Diceros bicornis minor: one gene and its partners. The protein of the gene in region 3 purifies or fractionates together with the protein of the main gene of each other region. This does not show direct contact. Links are inferred from orthologs where the notes say so. Each region holds a gene or a part of one and is shown on either strand. Other genes may lie near its edges.

Region 1 (7,297 bases), on a different chromosome or scaffold from region 3:
CAAACACCTGCCTCTAGCAAGGGCTCATTTTAGTTCTGGCTCTTGTTTCTGTTCTCTCTGGAGAATGGCAATGTATTAGTGGTTATGTCCACGGACTTGGTAGTTAGTCAGACCAGGGTTTAATCCTAGCTTTGGCCACTTACAGGCAATGAGATTTTCAGTGAACCTCAGCTTCTCTAAGGCTCAAATTCCTTACCAAAAAAAAAACAGTTGTTGTGGGAAATTAAGTACATAGTTTATGCAAAATGCTTAGCACACAGTAAAAAAAACAAGGGAGGGTGGGAGAGGGAGGACTGGCAGTTAGTAACAGAAGACCATCAGGTACCAAAATAGAAAGCAATAAATTATACAGAGCTAATCATTTTGTTATTCCAACTGAATAGTGAACTATGCTTAATTTATTTGCATCCATCCTGTCTCACCCATCCCTAGAGAGCAACTACCTCATAAACCTAAGGCTGAATTGCAATTACTCGGAGCTTTTTTTTTTTTTTAAGATCTCCAATAGCCCCAATTTTTATACTAGCTGAGAGAACATGTTCTAGCCCCTCTGACTCTCCCTAATTGGAACCCTAAGAAAGGCACTAGAATTCTAACCACCCAAAGGAGACTCCCACCTGGCACACAGACCCGCTACCTTAGTCATATAACAAAGAAACCAACAGTATATAGGAGTCAAACAAGGAAAGAAAAATCTGCACAACTCATACTTACTTGTCATCATTTTTCACCCCAAAATTAAAATGAGGAGCACAACAAAACATAAAAGATTTACTTATTCCTGTCCTTTATTATATTTCCTGAAAGAACTAGTAGAGGTGAGGTAGAAGACAAATCTTCCATCTTATCATCCAAAAGCCTTCACAGTACACACCAGTCAAAACAATGCCTCAGTTCGCAGAAATACTCCTGGACGCTAGTTAACTAGGATGCTCTCTGCAGCTACACAAAGCCCAGTATTTAAAGCTGGACCCAAATCACCACCACTCAGTCATCCAGAACCTATTTTCAAACTGCCTTTGTACTCCCTTCTTCAGATTCCCTCATCCCTCCCCCTAAAGGTTGAGTGGGAAACCGACACTCTGGCAGAAACATGACCAACCCTCCAAAGATCCACCAAGAAACATCCCTAGGCTGGAGTCAAGGCAGAGAGAACATTTGAGAGAAATTTGGAAAATATTAAATAAGAACTACAGCCCAACAGACTGTACATGTTGTCGTTTTTCTTTCTTTTTAGCTACACTTGCTATAATTATGAGATCCAGACATTAAAATTTTACTGTAGCCCTTGCATAGATGATAGTAGATTAAAAGGAGAAACAAAGTTCTGTTTCCCCTGAAGCCACAACCTCACAAAGATGAAATCACCTTTCAAGAGATACTTTCATTCTAGAAAAGGAATTCAACGAAGTGTTCTAGTCTAAAAAGAATTGGGGGGAGGGAGGCACAAAATCAGAGGATTATTAAAGAAACATCCCAGTTTAAAGCTAACGAGTAGCTTACATATTAAAGCCCATCTTGTTACAATTAGGGCAGCATCTTTTCCAGCTACAATTTTCAGACCGATTCACATTTTCAAAGGGAGAAGGAAGAGAACACCCGGTTTTCAGCTACTGATGAGTTGGCTATATAATTATCTAGAATCAGTATTTCTGCAAGAATGTATTCGCGAAAACAAAAACAAAACAAATCTTAAGATGAAATATAAGATATGCCAACAGTCATGGGCCTTCAGCTCTTACAGATTTCTGATTTCACAGCAAATTAACGAAACAAAAAACTCACCTCCAAAAAACAACTTTCAGTTTGGTTTAAAATTAAGAATTCCCCTTGTGCTTTCTCGAATGCATTCTAAACACTAAAGTTTGTTTTCTCTTGGCCTAACCTTATTTAATCCACAGCCCTTTCAGAAAGCACAAAGCTGAAAATATTTTCAGGTGTACTGCCACTTTACTAAGGTGAACTAAAAAACATGATTAGAATTTCCTTATCCCTTTAAGCACAGAAACCAAACGTTACCGGTAGTATTTGCAGACTGAACATACAACACCTCCACAAATTTTTGCAATCAAAGGTAGTTTAAGGAGGAAAGGAATGGCAATTCAGTTAACATGGATCCATTTGTTTTCTGTTATAAGGCAAAGCAAGGAGGCTACGTCTAGCAGGAGAATGAGGCTCCCACCCACCGCACCTGGAAAAGTAAGAGGGATCCACCCAGGAACAGCAAGGCTGAAACCGATCTGGGCCGTTCAAACTCTCTGGGGAAAAAAACACCACAATTTAAGCTGCAAAGCTCCCTGCAACTTTCCACTTCCATGAATCTAATAATAAAAGGGGAAAAAAAGTTTTGAAACATATGAAGAACCATCTGTATAACTAGCTTCTGACCCAGACAAATTCCTTTCCCAACCCACACGCAACATGCCAACTTTTGGTTTGGGCTCTGAAATCAGAAGTTTGTTAGCTTAATCCAGAAAAAATATATAAAATAAAAGAACACATCAAAATGTAAATTTACACAATTGCTCTTACCCCTCTGAGTCTACTCATCGCCCCTATATTAGAGAGACCTAGAAGTTTGTTTCTGGGTCTTGAAATATTTTAACCTTTTTTTAATACAATAAAATACCGAAATTCCCCAAAGTAAGTAGAAAGGAAAAGTAGTAATTGCTTAAAAGTCACCCGTCAGCATAGCAGACTCTTGTTTGTAAATTCCCTCTGGTTACCGTAAGACAAAAATTCGATTTGGCTTATCTTCCTTTACCCGTCTGTATACACATTTTTAAAAAGGCACACACCTCAAATGTGGACTTCTAAAAACCAGTCCTTTAAGAAAGAAACCCAAGGCTTCGTCAATGTGCTGAGAAAGACAAATCCAGCAAGGTAGTTGATTTTTCGCCACCTCTTCCTCCTTTCAGGATCTTTCCTACTCTTCTTTCTCTCTCTCCCTCTCTCTTTTTTTTTCTCTCAGATCCAACACCTAAAATGGAAGTTGCACCCAGCCAAAGGCTAGAGAGCCTGGGTGGTGACAAACTGATCTGGCAGCCCTACCCCCTCGCTTTCCTAAGTGATGTCAGCCCCTGAGAACTTCCAATAGGAGCCAGGCATAAATCAGGGAACTGATTTTATCCAATAGGAAACTTTATTATAGGAAATTAAAAAAAAAAAAAAGGAGAGAGGAGGAGAGAAAGAGACAGGGGGAAGTTTTATATATATATTTATATTTAAAGTGGAGACTATACAATCTCTGAGGAATTGCTGCAGAGCTCCAGGCAGGCCGAAGGAACGAGGGCTTTTTAGAATGGCACACCTAAGCCTTGGTTCTCTTTGATGGTGGGGTTCTTGCTCCCTCTCTCTTCCTTTCCGGGTAGGGAAACAGAGAAGACCTGATTTTATTTGCCTGCTATTTGGTTTGTTGCTTTCCACCCCAAAGCGTTTTCCCAAAGGAAGACGGGAAGGGAAGGAGACAGAAAGCCTAGAAACAGGACTACTATGTGTTGATTGGGATGGTAGGGGAGATCTGAGGTAAACTCTCAATTTCATTGTTTTAGTTTAACTGCATTAGAGCTAATTAGAAAAAAATAAATGCCTGGACTTGTTAACAGTTTTAAGTGTCTATACTTTCAACTATAAGGAAACTGAATCCATTGGGCTGCTGAGGAAAATCGCTGTCTTCCCTTCTGTCTCCAAATCAAAATAATGTGGGTCTATAGAGGAGAATAAATGGAATCCAATAAACAAGGAATATATTTAGAGGAGATAACAGCATGTGTAAGGATAAGTAAGTCTCATATCAAGAAAATGTGATTTCTTTGTGAACTTCAAGCTTAAGATGATCTAGTTCATACATTCTCTTTTTACACCTGACCTAAATAAAGAATTATACAGGTATTCTTTTTCTGAATTAAGAGTTATCCCTTAATATGTTCTTAGACTGTTAGGCCATGAAGGAAGCGATTGGATTTTTTTTTCACGCTTGACAAAGACTACTAGTATTTTATGGTCATTCCGTGGTTACTAAATAAAGATGATAATGATGAATGGAAAATTTCCTTCTTTCTTACTGAAAAATCTAAAATCTATCCTGTAGATTACTGCCAAACGAATCTTCATAAAGTTTTCATAACCTAGAATAGTGGTTAAGAGCATAGGTTCTGCAGTCTGACTGCCTGGCTTCAAACCTTCCTCCTCTGTAAGCATACTTACTGGAGTAAGGGTACTACTACATGACCTTGGACAAATTATATAATCTCTCTGTGCCTCAGTTTCCTTAACTGTAAAATGGAGATAATAACTATATCTCTCTCACAGGACTGTTGTGAGAATTGAAATACATATAAATTTCTTAAAACAATGTATGGTATATAGTATAAACTCACTGAGTTATTATTATTATATTTCAAAAGCCAAAGATAATTGCCAAAGGAAAACAATCAGCACAAGAAATGTTCATTGATTCACTGATTCCTAGATCAAAGCCATATTCTAGAATATTCTATGATTTACTAGAGATGGATCGGTCTTGTTTCCTTCACATCACCACTAACAACTGGCAAGTATTTTGCCTTCCTTTTTCATGTACATGCGCGCATGTGTGTGTATGTATTTTCCTGTCTCCCCTACCCAAAGATACGTTCCATGAAGGCATGAACAGTGTCTTTCTAGTTCATGTTGTATCCCCAGAGCTCAGCCTTATATCTCATACTTAGCAACATATGAATAAGTGAATGAAGTCTCTTGGCTTACTAATTATGTAATCCTGAACAAGTCATTTAACATTAATGAATTTATAGGTAACATTCAAAATAAAATTATATACAAGTTAAAAAAGATAACTCAGTGGTGAAAAAGTTGTTTAAATTTATCTGAAACAGCTATCTCCAAATAAAGCACCACAAGCATTAACACTCACTGAGGGAAAAACTGTTTACACTCAGCTAATAGAAAATAAAAAGACTAGTTCCACTTGGGTTATTTTGAGCACCTACTGTGAGCCAGGTACTCTTCTAGATGTCAAGGATAATAAGACAGACAAGTTTCCTGCTCTCGAAAAGCCTACATTCTAGCAGGGGGAGAGAGATTATAAATAAGATGTCAGATGGAGCACTATGGAGAGATCTAAAACAAACTGTCGAGAATGACTTGTTACTTGTAGATTGGATATCAGGGACAAACTCTCAGGAGAGGTGACATTTAAGTTGAAATCTGAATGGTAAGAAGCAGTCAACCATGATAACATATGAGCAATGATAACTATTAATGCCAAAGCCCTAAAGAGTGGGGCTAAAACATACTGGATCCAGCAGAGCTATTGGTAATGAGCAGGGCGGGACAGGCAGGAATCAGAATATGAAGGGTTCTATAGGTTAGAGGAAGTTTCGATTTTATTCTTAGGTAGAGGAAGACCTGTGCGAGTTTTAAACAGCGGAATGACATGATCTAACTCACATTTTGAAAAGATCTGGCTGCTTACGTGACAAATGGATTAAAGAGGAGGCAAGAGTGAAAGCAAGGAAATTAGTTTGAAGGTCAAGTTGTAGTGACATGGAATTGACTACAGTGGTAGCAGTAAAAATGGAGAGAAGTCAACCAATAGAGTTTATGTTTAGAGATACAGGGTGGTTTCTGCTTTGGGGTTTTTTTTTCCTTTCCTTTTTTCCTTTCTTTTTTTGTTTTGTTTTGTTTTAAATGCATGGAATATTACATTCTGTGCTCGCTTTTACAACTCTCAAAGTTTAACCTCCCCACCCACAACCATCACCACTTACACACAAAGGAAAATAAGACACCATAAAATGGTGAAAGATTAAGGAAGAGCTGGGAAATAAAATTGTATTTAAAAAAGCAATATTAAAATTATACAGGGCAGAGTGCTGTGCTGTGATGACTTTACTTGTAAAACAGACTAAAACCATAAATGCCAAGGAGAAGAAATGAACAAAATTCAACTCCAGCAAAAATACTGGCTATGCATACGAAAGAAAACAAAATATTTTCACTCCTTTCTACCCTCTGATGGCTACACATTACCATCCCAAGGTTGTCTTTTGTTTGGTGAGCAAGATTGGTCCTGAGCTAACATCTGTTGCCAATCCTCCTCTTTTTGCTCGAGGAAAACTACTCTTGAGCTAACATCTATGCCAATCTTCATCTATTTTTTTTTTTTTTTTGGTGAGGAAGATTAGCCCTGAGCTAACATCTGTTGCCAATCCTCCTCTTTTTGCTTGAGGAAAACTATCCTTGAGCTAACATCTATGCCAATCTTTCTCCATTTTTTTTTTTTGGTGAGGAAGATTAACCCTGAGCTAACATCTGTTGCCAATCCTCCTCTTTTTGCTGAGGAAGATTGGCCCTGGGCTAACATCCATGCCCATCTTTTTTTGTTGTTTTTTTTTAACAAAGGTTTATTTTTGTTTTTTCCCCAAAGCCCCAGTAGATAGTTGTATGTCATAGTTGCACATCCTTCTAGTTGTTGTATGTGGGACTCAGACTCAGCATGGCTGGAGAAGCAGTGCAATGGTGTGCACCCAGGATCCGAACCCTGGCCACCAGTAGCAGAGCACGCACACTTAACCGCTAAGCCACAGGGCCGGCCTACGTGCCCATCTTCCTCTACTTTTTTTATGTGGGACGCCTGCCACAGTATGGCCTGATGAGCAGTGCACAGGTCCACGCCCGGGATCTGAACCTGCGAGCCCCAGGCCACCGAAGCAGAGCACACGAACTTAACCGCTAGGCCACTGGGCCGGCCCCCAGTCTTCCTCTATTTTATATGTGGGACACCACCACGCCATGGCTTGATGAGCAGTCTGTAGGTCCGCACCCGGGATCCAAACCTGAGAACCCCAGGCCGCCGAAGCTGAGTACGCAAACTTAACCACTACACCACTGGGCCAGCCCCTGAAGTTTGTCATTTTGGAAGCCCTGGGTAGGATGGCCATTTATCATTCCCTTTACAAATTCTACTAACACAAGATTTAACTAAAATGGTGTTGGATTAAGAAAAAAAAAGTGAGTCCTCTCCACTTCTTGAAAATTAATCTAATCCTGACAACAATAATATTCACAAGGGGATATAATATTTATATTTTCCTTACAAGGCCACAGAATCACCTATGCTGGTACTCCACCTGCCTAATCAAGTCTTGATTCCACAGCAACAGACGCCATAAACAAGCGTTGTTCTGCCTTCTGTTCTTTTTTTTTGGCTTGCTTGCTTGTGTCTCTGTGTGTGTGTGTGTGTGTGTATGCACGCGTGCACTGCTGACATCTAAAATCTGTCCTCCTTCTGCTAAAT
Region 2 (7,992 bases), on a different chromosome or scaffold from region 3:
AAATTCTTCCCAGTGGGGATGATACAGCAGGATGAGCTCTAGGTTTGGAGCCAGAGGACCCAAACACCAGTCTTGGCTCTGCTTGGGTCTTGCTGTGCAACCTTGGGCAAGTTACTTAACTTCAATTTCCTCACCTGTAGAATGGGGTTAGGACACCCGCCTCTAGGGATAGCCACAAGGATTAAGTGAGAACAGTCAATGAAAGTACTTGGTATCTGTAAAGTCCTCCCTCACCTTTTAAGTGACCATGTGTCAAGTATCTACTGAGTAGGTAGGTATTATTATTCCCATTCTGCCAAGGAGGTCACTGAGGCTTGGAGAGGTGAAGTGACTTGACCAAGGCCACACAGGTAATGACTGACAGAGCTGGGATTCAAACCCAGCTCAGTCTAAGCCGAAATCGCAGTGTTCAGAACTGCCCCACTGTAACATCTCTCCACAAAAACAGCCCTTCAGTAGGCGAGTCAATTGCCCCATCTCATTCTAAGGTGGCTCCTCTGCCCAACCCCTCCCAGGTCAGGGAGAGATGCCCCCTTACCACCACCACCCTCCCACCCCCACATCTACCTGTCCCATGGCTGCCAGCCCTAGCCTGATCTCCTCCATTCCCACACACTGCCTTCTCAAAGCCTTAGCCCCAGCAGCCCAAGCAGAAGGTCCAGAGGGAATGGGGTGGAGCTGGGGTGCAGGGGTGGGGCAGGGTGGAGGGGGTGGAGAGGGCTCAAGTCACCCAAGCTGGGGCTTGATCTAGCAAGGAATGACTAATTGGATCCTGCCTTTTTTTCCCTTCTCCCTCCTGTCCAGTAAGCAGCCAGCTTTCACCAGGCACCTCCTAGCAATGCTTCCTCAATATTGTCTTTTCATCACAGCCACAAACCAGATTAGCTAAACTAATCATTTAACCAATGTAATTACAATGCCTTCCCCTCCTCCACTTTGGCACAGAGGAGGGAAAACAGGTTATTTTTGCCCAAACTCCATACCCTTGTGGCTCCCCAGAGGTACCCCACCCACTAGAGCAGAAGAGGGAGGGGGTTCTCTCCTCAGTCTCCCCCTAACCCAGAGTAGGGCCTGATCCCTGCCCAGGGGCACATCATAGGAGTGGGGCTGACCTTTGCCCCCACTCTCCCATCTCCAACCACCAAAGAGGCCACAGGGTCTTCCCAAGTGAGTCAGGGCAAGCAGCCCCAATTTCCCCCCAAGTCTTCCCTTCACCCCAGGACTCAGGGAGAACCTGGCTCCTACATTCCCCCTCTGTTCCTCAAGGAGGCTGGGCTCCAAATCTCTGCAAAAAGACCACACTTCAGATTTCTTAAAACCTGTGTGAAAGCCTGGTGGAGATCCCCAACTCTGGCCAGGGAAGGGGCTCTCAAGAAATGGGGGGGGTGGGGGTGGCTAATGCAGCTCTGCCTGAAACCTTCCCCCCAGAATCCTTCCTCCTGTCCCAACTTTCCCAATCAAACTCTCAGGAAAGGGGGTGGGTGGGGAATGGACTGCAAAGCCTCCAGAAGGAATGCACCTTCAAAATCCAGAAGGCAAATGGAAATCAAGCAACATTGCTCTTTGCTCTTAGGCCTCAATTGCCAGCCAGCAAAACAATGTGGGGGATGGGGTAGAGAAAAAAAAAAAGAACAATCGCTCCCCCCACCCCCGTCTGTTTGGCCCGGCCCTGCCCCACCCCCATTCCTGGGGAGGGGGGCAGAGCTGGGGAGAAAGCCACTTGCGCAGGCCTCAAGCGAGGGGGTGTGGTGGTCCCCGGAGGCAGGAAGAGAAGGAAGAAGCTGCTTCCCCTTTCGGCCCACCCCCCCCACCCCGGCCCCCACCTCAGGCCCCAGGGGCCCAGCAAACAGGATGGAAGTGGGGGCGGGGAGGCAGGGTCACAGCGCAGGCACTGGCCCTGGTTCAGCCTGGCCGGCTGGGGGAGGGGGCTTTGCTCAAGATGGACCCCGTAAGCCTGGGGGGACGCCCTGGGTAAGGAGGCAGGAAAACCCCCAGAGAAAGCTGCTGTGAATACTTCCTCCTGGAAAGTTTGTTTTGGGTGCTTTTTCCGACAATAAGAGGATAGAGAAGAAGAATGGTCCGGTTCCCATATCAACACTCTGGAAGCGGCATCTACTGGAAACTGGGCCAGTGAATTCTCTACCCATGCACGACCCCTCTGCCCAGACCCCTGTCCGAGCCACTGGTGCCAGACCCCAGCTGGGCGCGGAGCCGGGCCCTGCACCAGTCCCACTCTCATCCCATCCCAGCACCCCTGGCGGAGCCACAGCCCGGCACCCACCAGAGCGGAGGGAGGCGCCACAGGTACAGAACCGACGAAGCTCCGGGAGTTGGAGGGCAGAGCCTCTGGACTCCGTGTGCTCACCTGCTCGGCAGGTGGGGCCCGCGTCGCTTGGAAAATGTGCGTTCGGCCCCACAGTTGGGCAAGCCGGGCGCAGACAATAGGGCCCCACCCAGGCCTGGGGGAGTAGGGAGGGAGGGAAAGCGAGGATGACGCGTGAGGTGGGGTGAGGGTGGCCCCAAAGAGACCAGCGGCAGCAAGTTTTCAAACAGTAAATTCCTGACTACAGAGTGAGCCCTGGGACGCAGGCGGAGCAGGTCAAAGTCTCCCCCGCAAGAGTCAGGGTGAGAGTCAGGGACGCGGCGTCGGGCGGGCTCCGCGGCCCCGGCGGAGGCGCGACCCCGGAGACACCTGCCCTGATCCCTCTCCACCCTTCCCAGATCTCCGGCTCACGCAGCCCCTCAGCGCACCCGGCCCGAACCTCGCGCCCCTTTAGCCGCCGCGCCCAGGACCCCAGCGCGCCCCCTGCCGCCGGTGCAGGGAGGCGCTCCCTGACACCCGCCCTCACCTGCCCTGAGACGGCGGGGGTTGGCCTCTCTCGGCCGCTCGCCGCCCTTCTCTCGCCCCAGCGCTACCTGCCCCGATCGTCCGCACCTGCGTGTGGAGCCTGGCCGGGCTGGGCAGGGGTCGGGCCGGGATGGGAGCCGGCGCGGGCGGCGAACTGAGGTCGGCGCGCTCGGGCGGCGGCTGCTCCGGACTCTGGCCAAGGCAGCAACTCAGTAACCGAACAAAAGGCGAAGGGACCTGACAGCCAAGCCACGCCTCTCGCCCCCTCGAAGCTCCGCCCCTGAGGGAGACGCCCACCCGCTGATGCGGGCTCACTGGCTGCCTCGCTTGACTGTCCCATCGAGGGGCGGAGCCTCGCGCCCAGTTCTCTTCCATCGCCACCTCTGTTTATCCTCTGGCCATTGGCACCAGAGACTGCCAGTCGGCTCTGGGGACGGCCTCCAACTTGAGGTTCCATCCTAACTCCGCACCTATTGGCAGATAGGAGGTTACTTCCTCCTGATTGGGCAAGGTGTCGTCAGTAAGACTAAGGAAAGAACCAATGGGAGGGATGGGGTGTGTCTTGCCCCACCCTAGCTCTGAGCAGGTAAGACTCATTACTCTCCCCTTCCCCCTACCTGTCCAACAGGTGAGTCAGGAGGCGCCATGGGAAAGGACAGACGCTTTCACCAGCCAGCCAGCTCAGCGTCAGGAATAATGCTTCTTTGGGCTTATTCACCCTTGCCACAAAGTGGTAATAAGATGTTTGTATAGCACTTCATAGGCTATTAGCTGGTTTGGGAATTTTTTCCTGAAAGATGGAATGCTCCTGAGATTTAGAATCAGAAGGCCTGAGTTTGGGTTCTGCCACTTAGGAGCTATATGATCTTAGGCAAGTTACTTCATCTCACCCTGTTTCTCCTCCTCTGTAAAATGGGTACATTGGCTATATCTCTCTCTCAAGGGAGTATGTGGGGATGAAATGAAGTAAAGTTTGTGAAATCACTTGGACAATTGCTAAATGTTACAATTTAAATTAATGACTTTTTTTTTAATTCTCGTGACAGTTCTGAAAAATTGTTAGGACAACAAAATGATTGTCATTTCAAAGATGAGGAAACTGAGGTTCAGAGAGGTCACAAAACTAGAAAGTGGCACATCCTAAACTAGAACCCCTTTCTTCTCATTTCAAGGCTCACCAAACTACATGTTCTCCTGGTGGAATATAGCACCGACATAAAATGTCAAAGCAGTGGGGAGGGGCCGGGGAAAAGGCAAAAACAAATTCCGGGGAGAGACAGAAGAGTAGTGATTTGGGACAAAGGGACAAATTGAGGCTAGACATCAGAAGGAACTTACCAGTGTTAGGATAAGGAGACAAGGACATTCATATATGGGAGGCTGGAGACTCTCCTTTCCTGGAGATTTGTCAAACAGAGAAATCCCTGTGAAAGGGACAAAGACTGAGAAAGTATTGGTGGGTTTGGAAGAAATCAGGCAGCAAGGAAATCAACACTGCCTAAAAGAAATGGGGCAGCAGGCCCCTCAGTAGTGGAAGAGTCTGGGTTAGTTATCAGAAAGAACGTCCGGGGCCGGCCCCGTGGCTTAGCGGTTAAGTGCGCGTGCTCCACTACTGGCGGCCCGGGTTCGGATCCCAGGTGCGCACCGACACACTGCTTCTCCGGCCATGCTGAGGCCACGTCCCACATACAGCAACTGGCAGGATGTGCAACTATAACATACAACTATCTACTGGGGCTTTGGGGAGAAAAGGAAAAAAAAAAAAAAAGGAGGAGGATTGGCAATAAATGTTAGCTCAGGGCCGATCTTCCTCAGCAAAAAAAAGAGGAAGATTGGCATGGATGTTAGCTCAGGGCTGATCTTCCTCACAAAAAAAGAAAGAAAGAAAGAAAGAAAGAACTTCCCAATAGGCAGCTTAAGAAGATAAGAGTCTTCTCTTTCTGTGGCTGATGAAATGAGTGCCTGCTGGTGGCAGTACAGTGTGCCAGGGGTCCTACAGACATTCATTCATCAATAGAGCACCAACTGTATGCAAGGCACTGGGTTAGGCACTGGTAACATGGAAAATCAAAATGATCCCAACCCTCAAAGGGCTCCAGAGGGCTAAGTGTAAACAGGTCACCTCAGCCGCTCTGTGTGTGTGTGTGTAGGGAGAGGGGTTGTTCGGGAAAGGGTCCTCCCTCAAAGAAGCATTATAGCCCCAAAGCTCGCACACAGGTGGGCTGGGTGAAGGAAGCCCTGCAGCATCCTTGACCGCTTTCCCCACCAGAGAAAGCAATGATGGCTAAACAGTTGCAATGATGGCCAAACAGTCGCACTTCTGAGGCTTGTGCCATCCAAGAGGTCTTCCTGGAGGGGGCAGGGAGACATCAACATCCCTAACCAGGTACCATCCCACGTGCCACTGCCCTGTGCTTCATTTCCCTTCCTCCCCCTCCTCCAGCTTACTCAGTATCTTTCTCCATACCTTACCCCTGCCCCACCCACCTGCTCAGCACCCTGCCACACTGTGCAGTGGCCAGCCCCCAGCTTGGGGGGAAAGGAGCTCGAAATCCTAGGCTGCTGCCGTCGCCAGGGTTTCACTTCCTCCCTCTTCCACTTCCCACCTTCCCTTGCCCACTTCCCACCTTCCCACACCCTCCCCTGCCTACACACACACACACACACACACACACACACACACACACACACACTTCCCAGACTCAAGCCTGGCTCAACTCCTTCCTTTCTCCTGACTTCCGCATACGGGCAGGGCAGGGCTGGTTGGCTGCAGAGGGGTGGAGGAACCTGGATCGGGTGGAGGGGCAGAAATAAGGCTTCAGAATAAAGCCTATGTGCATGTGTGTGTGTGTGTGTGTGTGTGTGTGTGTGTGTGTGTGTGTCTCCCCAGAATGTTCCCTGCTTGTCAGCCTGGAACATGCTGCAACATGCTTGCCCCAAACTAAGCGCTCAGGCTGGGACTGGGTGGAGGCACCGCGGCAGCAGTAGGAAAGATTGGGATGACAGCTGTGTCTCTCCGCCCAGATCAAGGGGTTTTCTGCACATTTATGAAGCACCTACTACGTGCCTGCCAGGCACTGAGGATTCATCTGTAGGATACAGAAAATGATGTTGACCAGAATCAGCTGTCTGTGTAGGGGATTTGGTCTCACAGGGCAAGGAGGTGCCTAGGGATGGGGATGAGAGTCGCTGTGCAGCAGTCTCCTCTATGACTAGAGCTTGAAGGAAAGGCCACAAGACCATCTTACCCAGTCCCCTGCCTCCAAGCCTTTGAAGGCAGGGATTTCTCTGTTTGACAAATCTCCAGGAAAGGAGAGTCTCCAGCCTCCCATATATGAATGTCCTTGTCTCCTTATCCTAACACTGGTAAGTTCCTTCTGATGTCTAGCCTCAATTTGTATTGCTGCAATTTAAACTCATTTCTCTTGCCCAGAGCTCAGTGGAAGCAGCGTCCTTGGGCCGTCAAGATCACATATGGTTAATTCAACATTGCAGATTTCTGGGGCCTCAAGTAAAGAAGGAAAGAGCACCCAGTGGCCCATCCCAAGCTGTCCCAGAGACAGAAGCTACTAGCAAAGAGGGGTCCAAGGAGGGGCTGTTGGGAGGGAGGGGAGCTGGTGGGGGATGGGCAGGCGCTTTCCTGAGGGAAGGTGAACAACAGCCCAGTGCCCTCCAGGCTCATCTCACTTCCCCTCCCCGCCAGGAGGCCTCTGGGCCATATAAGGAGGTAAGAGTTTCTGTTGTCTGTTCAAACTTGGCCCTTTCTCTGTGGGGTCCCTTCCCCAGACAGAGGCTGAGGAGATTTAGATCTGCACAAGCCACACACACAAACACACACAACCTTCCGTGCTCACACCTCAGGGATATACACTCATGGGCACAGATTCAGATACGCAAACACCAGACGCATCAACGCTTTCTCCCCAACAGACAAATACACACACACACACACACACACACACACACACACACACCCTTCATCCCTCCTCTTCCTCTAGGGTGGCCTCAGGGATGGTCATCTCTATCAAGGGAGACTGGGGTGAAGAGACGGGTTGCTAAACTTCAGGCTGACAATGGTCCCTCTTCATCACACAGCAGCTCCCTCTCCCCTGGCGTTAGTTACAGCAGCGGGAAAGGAGAGCGACAACCGGGAGTTGTCGCTTCCCACGTGGCAGGCTGGAATCAAAGGCAATAAGAAAAGGAAGAGGCATCTTGAGCACAGGCCGGCTCTCAGCCCCGGGGCAGAGCCACCCGTGGACCTGGGAAAGGGGCCTCTGTGTTGGGTCCTATCCCTCAGAAGGCCCCACTCCAGCCCTCCTGCGGTTGTGCCCTCCACACAGGGCCAAAGGAACAAGCCTATACAGAGTTCATGGCTCTCCCCTTCAAGACCACACTCCGGGTGGCGGAAACCCTGAAATTCCTTGCCCAGCAGTGACCCCGCTTCTAGGGCCTGGGGTCTCTCACTCCGGCCCTTCCTCCCCTCCCGAGGACAGCAGCACCGCCCGTCGTACAAGCACACACAGGCAAAGTGGTGACAAGGGCAGTTATGGGGACGGGTGGACACAGCACAGATATGCAAGCTGGGGTATCTACACGCATGTGCTGGAGGCCCTTTGTGGTGTGGGGGACCCAGGGGTTCGAAGGGACGGGGAGATGGCCCAGGGGCTGGAGGCCTGGGGACGGTTATCCCCGGGCTGCCATGTTCTGAGGAGTCTGAGAAGTCTCAGTTCCATCCTGGCCTCTCAGGTCATTGTGAAGTTGTACTTATCAAGGTATAGCTTATTTAACAGTTTGTGTGCTTGATTTGTATGTAACTTTTTGGACTACAGTATGTGGACCTCCATTTGCACGCCTGCCCCTGTCCCCTGGAGTTGGGGGTGACTTGCTCGGGGTGACCCCTTCAGGGCTGGGGAGATGACACTGGCTGCAGAAGAGCCTCCAGGCTCCCAAACTCTTCTGGCTGGAGGGGCCCAAGCCTTGCAGGAGCAAGAGCGAGGTGGGCTGGTGCGAGGCCTGGAGGAGGGGTGCTTCTCCGGTTTTTTGCTGCCCTTTGTCCAGGGGAGGAGCCTCGAAGCCAGAGGCTGCCCACGGCCTGGTCCTGTGGGTGAGTGCCCAGCCAGCAGGGAGGGCTCTTAATTACAGAG
Region 3 (7,700 bases):
AATGGTAACATCTCCAGTTAAAATGAAGAATAGAGAAAATCTTAAAGCTGAATATCATAATATGAAAAATTGACTAGAATTATGTAAATCTAGATAATAGAATAACTAAACTAGTAAAGAATCTCTCTCAAAATGAAAAAAAAGTTCAAAGCAAAGCAAGGAACACTTCCGTTAACTAAAGGCATAAAAAGTCCTTCTGAATACTCAGTTATTCTTCTTTAACTAGCCTGAAAAAATAAAGTTGCTCTGTATCTACACTAATAGCCTACTCACTCTCTTTTCTAAAACTCTTGGTTCTTGAGTCCAGCCTGAAAAAAACTAGACTTTCAATAGCAGACGACTGCAGAAGGGCCATTTCACCTTGCAGATAGATCTTTGCTATTCTGGTGTGTAAGGCAGACCATTAGCACAAAGTCATTTCCAATCTCAGCTGTACAAACGACATGGGTGCAGGTAACCCCAAAACTGATGTTGCATAAACTCCTCTGCTTTCACTCCTAATGACCTTGCAAATCATTCAACTTCATCGCTTGACTTGCACCCAGGAATTAGAAGACTGCCAAACAACTTGATGACAAAGTTATAATTTCCCCTTTCCTGAAGGTGTATAAAAGTCAACATAACATAGATCTAGAAGAAACTGAGAAAGAACGTACAGTGGGAAAGATAAGCATGGTATCTGACGTTTATAAATGATATTTTTAAAAATGCGTAAGGAAAAAAAGAAAATGACCTACAAAATGCACACCTGATTTCAAAGCAAATGACTAAAAGAGGAAATGAGATTGTTCCAGTAGCACCACGGTTATTAATGACCAAAAGCTGTCTCCTCCTGGCCTAACTTCAGTACACGGTATTCAATTAAAACTTACTTTCCCATCAAGTTAGTGAACATACCATCTACTGTTAGGCTCACACTCTGAGGATGTATTTTAAGCTGTCTGTAAATAAGCAAGACCACTCACTGTTGTTCAAAAAATAATGTTTTTAAAAATAAGATTTTTTGATCTATATTTCCTTTGTTTAAAAATATATATATATCTGATGTCCACAGGATTCTTGAGTTTATCTTGCCTTTCTCTTAACTCCAAACACTTGAAGGCGCTTTTTTATCCCTCTTCCCCTTCAGCCTAACCTCTTTAATAAACCCCATTTTAAAAGAAGAAACAATAAATGAAGTGACAGGAGGTGAAAGAATGAGAGTGCGCGCTCCCAGAATAAAGGACGGTTTTATAACAGGAGGTGCTTTTGTTAGCAAGTGACTGACAGGTCTCCTCCCCCAAGTTAGAAGAAATTCCATCCACTCCCCAAAACTGCGGAGGCCAAAAATGTCCACTCGAATAGTTTTGAAACCCCAGAGTCAGGAGAGAGCCGAGCGGGGAGGACGGGCGAGTGGGGGAAGGGGAAAGAGAAAGACCAGCAGGAGACGAAAGAACAAAAGGAGAAACCCAAGAAAGGAGAAAGGAATTACGGGCGGTTACAGAGGCAGTGGGAAGGAGAGAGCCGGAAAGTGGGAGAGCACGACCCGGGGGAGGAGAGCGCGGAGCCGGGCAGGGCCCGACGCGCCGCTCCACGGCGCACCATGGACAGGGCTCGGCGCGGCCGCGGCCCACACCCCTCTAGGGGGCGGCGGGAGAGGGACGGAGAGACCGCGGGCGCCGGCCCCGTCCCGCCCCCGGCGCCCGCAGGCCCCCCTCCGGCCGGAGCGCGCCAGGCTTTGACCCGTGAAGACCATGGAGGGAGGCGATCCGCACCATCTGTCCCAGCCCCGGCCGCCCCCGGCGCAGCGGCACTTCCGAGCCGCGCCCGCACTTTTCGGGACTGCCACCAGCTGGCCACCCCCAGCCGCCGGCGGTGCGCAGGGAGCCCCTCGGGCGGATTTCCCGGGAGACCCTGTCCCGCAATGAGGGCGGACACGCCCCTCTCCTGCAGCCGCTTTGGGACCCCACTTGCCCGCGGGGTCAGATTCAGGACCCCCGCCCGGCACTCGCCCAGCGCGAGGGTCGCGGCTGATGCGCGCGGCGTCGCTCCCTGGGACCCTGCTCGTTGGCCAGGAGGGGCCTCGGGCATCCTCTGGCCGGACGCCGCGGGAAAGTTGGGCGGTCGGCCGGGCTGGGGACCGGCGGCGCGGGGTGGCGAGGGAGCCTCCGACCTGCCTGGAGCAGGTGCTTCCTGCCGCGGAGGAGCCTCTAGCACAGATCCCATGAAAGGGCCGTCTGGCGCTCTCTCGAAGGCGTGAAAAGTGCGGAGGCTCCTGGGGAAGGCGCCCCCAGGGCGCACGCAGGACAGAAGCAGCCGGACAGAGGGAGAGGAATAATAGCCGAGTAACGGAACTTCTCCCGGCCCGGCGGGATAAGGGGCGCGCAGGGCCGGGGGCTGGGTGTGGAGGTGCCGGCCCGCAAAGACTCTTCGGGACAAGGGGGCGAGGTTTTTCCTCCAGGTGGAACCGACAAAGAAAATTGTGAGGCAAGAGAACAAGAACAGGAGGCAACTCTGTGCTAGGGTCAAGACAATAGGACAGTGGAGCCCTCGAGCACCGGGAGGCGCGCGGGTGTCAGGGTGGGGTGGGGTGAAGGCAAGTCCCGTAACTAAGACACCAGAGTGAGAATTCCTACTGCAAACTCGCGACCCATCCCTGCAGAAATAAACAAAAAAATTGGAGCAAAGTGCAATGCAAGGAGCGAGAAGCGTAGAAAGCTGCAAAACCGGGGTGCTATCCTGCCTCATCCTTCTGCTGCGTGGAGACGCCACCCGCGAGCTCGCCCGACCCCGCAGGAAGGGCAAAGGGGGCCAGCGATCGGCCCCTTCAGGACCCGCAAAGAGAGGCGCGCGAGACCAGCTGGCCCCAGCAGCCCTGCTCCTGCGCCCGGGCCGAGCCTCGTGCCTGCGCAGCTCCCCCGGCCGCGCGGTGCGGCACCTCCCTTCCCGGGTGCGCAGCCCGGCCCCGCAGCGGCGCGGGGAACAAAGGGACCCGGCGCCGCCCGCCCCACCCCGTCCGCGGCCCGGCCCGCGGGGACCGCCGCGTACCTGAAGCAGGGCCGCCAGCAGCGGCAGCAGGGTCCGCGGCGCTCCCACTATCCGGCACATGGAGGCGGAGAGGGGCCAAGCGAGGAGCCGGAGGCGGCGGCAGCAGCAGCGGCAGCACCAACAGCGGCGCGGAGAGACGGCTCGAGGCAGTTTCCACCCCCTTCCCTTTCCCTCCCCACCCCACCCCCTTCTCCACTGCTCTCCTCTCCCCGCCAATGGAGAGAGAGCTGATGACAAATAGCGGGCCGCGGAGTCCGCGACTCGCACCAGGAGTAATAAAACAGAGCGAGAGATCAAGGAGCTGGGGAGGGGGCGGAGGAGGGGGCGGGCGTGCGTGTGAGGGTGTGTGTGAGAGAGAGAGAGTGTGTGTGTGTGTGTCTGTAGTGTGTAGGCGGCCGCTGTGGCAGCGCAGGCGGCTTCGCTCCGGCCCCAAGCGCAGCGGAAGCCGGGAGGGATGCAGGCGGCGGGGACCTTGGCCGGTGTAGGATGCGGAGGTGGAAGTGGAGCGGATGGCGCTCCCCAGGAGCTCCGCAACGCGAGGTTTCGGGCTCCTGGTTTTGCTTCCTCCGGGTCCCGTCTCCAGGGCCGCTTGGCACGACGAAGACGCCGGGGAGGGCGCTCCGGGCCGTGCGCGCTGGCCCACAAAGGGCAGTAGTCCCGCTGCGCGGGAGCTGAGGGCCGCTTCTCGGCTCTCCTTGCCGCTCCCGGAGAGTTGAAGATTGTTCTCCGGCCTTGGCCGCGCGGGGGTGAGGCCAGGGGCCGACGGGGCCGCTACCCCCGCGGCTCCGTCCCGCGCAGCTGCCGCCGCGGCCGCCCCTGCTGCCTGCGCGCTGACACCTCCCGCCGGTGCTGTCCCCGCGCCGCTCACCGGCGCGCGCGCAGCCCCACCCCCGCCCGCGCACCGCGCTCCGCGCTCGGCCTCTGCGAGCGCGACCAGGGCTAGCCGCTGCCGCCGCCGCCGCCGCCGCTCTGCCCGCGCTCGCCGCACGCGCTGCGGGGTCGCGCGGCCCGCTCCGCTCTCCTCTCCCCTCCCGCCGCCGCCGCCCTCGCCCCCGCCTCCCTCCCCGCCCGCGTCGTGGCCAATCGCAGGCCACCAAGCTGCGGCGGTAGCCGGCCGGATCCCAGGCAGCCGCCCGCCCCCGACCCCGCCCCGCCGAAGCGCCCCGTTTTTGCTGCAGCCCGCGGGGGGTCGCCGGAGGGAAGCCAGGGGTGCGCGGAGCTCCGCCTCGGCAGGTGGAAGGGCTGCGGGAAATAAAATAACTTGCGCAGGAACTTGATGATTGGTGGCAGGTTCGTCTCTGGACCGCGATGGGGAATCCGAGATTAAGAATTGGGGGGACTGCCTCCTTGGTAGCCTAACGCAGGCTCTATTTTCTGTTTTGTCATTTTTTGGAAATAGATTATTTTTCGGGCAGGGACAGACGCAGCAAACTAGCGACGCAGGCAAAGCCCATCCTGGCCATTGTTGTCTGAGGCGCTTTCCCCGAGCCACCTGCGGGCCCGGGCGGGCGGAGGCCACCGCTTCTCGTGGGCGCTCCCACCTCTCCCACTTTTGCAGATGTACTGGAACAGCCCAAGTTTTTGTGTTTTTATATTTTCTTTGGTCCCCTCTGGGAGTTTGAGAGTATGTGTTATTTTATTTGAAATCACTCGTTTTAATTTCTACTCGTTAGTAGTACTGTTCACATATTTTAGCAGTTTCGGGGACTTTGACTTCCTCCGTACACCACCCCCAACAATGACACCACCACAAAAGAAAGAAAGAAAGAAAGAACCTAAAGCCAGAACTCGCTGTGATAATAAGGTTATCTAAAGGATAAAATAACTGGTACAGAGTTTGCGCCAAGTAAAGGACTTTTGCTCCCTCCTTTTAAGGCATGAACTTGGAGTGAAACAAAAAGTGAGAGACTACGAAAAGTTTGGGTCATAAGCATTTGTGGAATGGGGGAGGGATGAGGAGCTATTGATTTTGGCAAGGTAATAAATTTTTTCCAGAACCCTTTTTTTTTTTTTAGATTTTACAGGTAGATAAAAATACCGGTTTTAGCTAAGCGTTTCAACGTTTTGGAGGTCATCGAACTTCGTTGCGGTTAATGAACGTTGCTCTTCTGCTCTGGGTAACTGAAGTATTAACATTATTTGACTTTGAGATTCAGGATACTAATCATTTAAGAACCTGATGATGAATTTCTAAAAATCTAGTACAAATTTCTTTGACATAAGTGATGCGGCTTTTAATAATGTACTATTGCTGGTGAGGCTTTAAAAAATTTAATATTCATAGGGAAACTTAATTTTAATTAAAACATAATATCGTAGGCCATTTTTTTAATGAAACAAAAAATTTTTCTGGATTTTCTTCTCCAAAGAATAAGGAAGGTCATATTAATTAAATTTAAAGACAAAGGCTCCACTTGATCTTTCTCTTTCTCTCCTTTGCTGGATGTTATTGTCACTCTATGGCTAATCCACCTAAAAGTTCTCCTTGCAAGAGAGTATTTATAAATTCCACTTTCAAGGAGTCATGCATAATAGTAAAACATTTGGTAGCACTATGGGGATGTTGTTTGTTGATTTCCAAAGCGGAATTTACAGATCCCATGTCCATGCCTAAGAATTAAGCTGTGATCCCGGATGTAAGGCCTCAGTTACATCCTCACCACTGCCAGCAGTAGCCGTTGATGTTTATTGCCATTCTGATTAATTTAAAGATAGGACAGATTTCAGCATGAATAACTATTGCTTGTTAGTATTATTTGCTTGAAGCTTTAAACATCCACCCCCTTATAAATTAAACTCTTATTATGATTTCAAAATCTGCTTTGGAATGCCTGTCAGTCAACTAATTCTCTGATTCCAATAGTTTTTGATCATACAGGTAAGTAAGCACTTGCAGATTTTTATTTTTTAGTTCAACTTGCATGCCTCTTACTCTTCAATGGTTATGAATTGCTTGGAATCTTGCCTGAGTTTAACCTGAGCATGTGGTCAGCCAAATCTTGCTAATCTACCTTTTATCTCAAGGAGTAGCCCAGTCTAAAATCATGTTATTGGAGACTTTGTGCATCCATTTGATGTTAATAAATGTAGATCTAGTGTTAACTTTGGCACCCCACAGAGCTGTACCTTCATTGCACTATACTTAATCTAATGGAGACATTCCTTCCTCTGGGCAAGTGGTGACCAAACTGTCAGATTTTCAGCCTCTGCTCAAAGCGTCACCAGTCTGAGGATTAACTTTCCATCAGCCTGCAGAGCTCTAGGGCTGCAGGGGGCTTGACAGTGACCCAGAGAAACAGCCAGGTGGTGGGAAAAGGGGGGGAAGACAAGAAAAATAATCATAAAAACTAAGGGTGGGCTCATACACCAAAAATCAGTCTAATCACTTGATTTCTGACCTGTGCGCTGCTGCTGGTTTACTAAGGGAGGTCTGTAAATGAATCTGTGCACCAAGCATTGTGGATAGACTGCATAAATGATGTCTCTTGCACACATAGCCAGTTTTCATATGTATGTAGATGCCATGATGATTCATTTTTAAACATTCATTTCAAAGTAAAACCATAATAAATTTTTGTTTTGGTGTGTTTTCTCAAACAAGAGGTGCTAAACATACAAATGCATCACGTGAGTGTTTGTATAAAAGGGTCCTCACTTAGCAAATGGGGAACAGTAATCGTCTGTCTGTGGCATACACTTCCCACGCACCCCCACCTCCCCCCACAGAGCTGCAAGGCAGGAACCTCACTTGTGTTGAGCTCTGACACCCATCTAAGTGTCCTTCCCGAATGTTCAAGACCTCCTCCACTCTTCCTCCTTCTCTCCCAACCTCCAGGGCAAGCTAGGATTGTCCCTTCTCCCTTAGGAAGCATCCCTCACGTTGCAAGGTTCTCCCCAATTAGCTTTAGTGTAATAAAACTGAACTTCCCTGGGTAATATCCCTTTTATAGAGTATGGAATGTTCAAAACAAAACTTAAAGATGGTCTCTGCAACCCTCTCATTTTATAGGAACACTGAGGCTTGAAGAGGTACACAAGGCTACTAGCTGGGACATAGGGAACCCCAATGGGGCACAGGCTCTCTTACTCCCAGTCTTACCTAGACTCTTTATGTTATTCTAGGGAGTCTCTTTAACTTTAGAAAATTCAACTATGTGGAATGAAAGGGAAGTTTAAAAAAAAAGAAAAAGAAATTTAATGATTCTGGGGATTTGCTGTTGCTCTCAGGTATTTTCCTCTTCAGAGTATGTGTGAGACAGGAGACATAACTCAGCTTCTCTTTCTGCTGATCTCAGTTCTCACATGCCTTTCTCGGTGTGATCATCTCGCCGTATTTAGTGTGATTCTGGCATTTCATGATCCATACCTTTGATACAGGCTGGCTGCTAAGCACAAGCCAGCCATTCAGTTCATCTGGTACTCAACAAGAGAAGTCATGATCTGTTCCAATACTAGAAGAAAAACCTGGCTGTTTTTTAATCCACTCTTATTTGCAGATATTATTTACCTTTTATTTCTTTGAAAGTCAAACTCAGTGTTTTCATGGAGAATATAACCAAGTAAGTAACTGGAAGTACATACGGTCAGGTAAGTGAGTGAATGAGTTATAAATCTGCATGATGAGGGAAGTAATTCACAAGCAGCCTCTGTATTACAAGGAACATCACCAAAAA

Evidence for each region.
Region 1: the proteins of CDH2 (region 3) and CTNND1 purify together in Homo sapiens (affinity purification with western blotting; 6 studies listed by BioGRID and IntAct, with this or other methods). This does not show direct contact. The link is inferred for Diceros bicornis minor from reciprocal best matches to the Homo sapiens genes CDH2 and CTNND1.
Region 2: the proteins of CDH2 (region 3) and JUP purify together in Homo sapiens (co-immunoprecipitation; 4 studies listed by BioGRID and IntAct, with this or other methods). This does not show direct contact. The link is inferred for Diceros bicornis minor from reciprocal best matches to the Homo sapiens genes CDH2 and JUP.

The regions. Positions count from the first base shown.
Region 1 is NC_080770.1:16,229,150-16,236,446, forward strand, and holds the start of CTNND1 (catenin delta-1), read right to left. Parts: upstream 3,019-7,297; 5' UTR 2,799-3,018; intron 2,259-2,798; exon of another isoform or gene 2,192-2,258; intron 1-2,191. UniProt on the Homo sapiens protein: Key regulator of cell-cell adhesion that associates with and regulates the cell adhesion properties of both C-, E- and N-cadherins, being critical for their surface stability.
Region 2 is NC_080757.1:41,065,586-41,073,577, forward strand, and holds the start of JUP (junction plakoglobin), read right to left. Parts: upstream 3,043-7,992; 5' UTR 2,936-3,042; intron 2,929-2,935; exon of another isoform or gene 2,850-2,928; intron 1-2,849. UniProt on the Homo sapiens protein: Common junctional plaque protein. The membrane-associated plaques are architectural elements in an important strategic position to influence the arrangement and function of both the cytoskeleton and the cells within the tissue.
Region 3 is NC_080755.1:23,174,373-23,182,072, forward strand, and holds the start of CDH2 (cadherin-2), read right to left. Parts: upstream 3,089-7,700; 5' UTR 3,088-3,088; coding exon 3,028-3,087; intron 1-3,027. UniProt on the Homo sapiens protein: Calcium-dependent cell adhesion protein; preferentially mediates homotypic cell-cell adhesion by dimerization with a CDH2 chain from another cell. Cadherins may thus contribute to the sorting of heterogeneous cell types.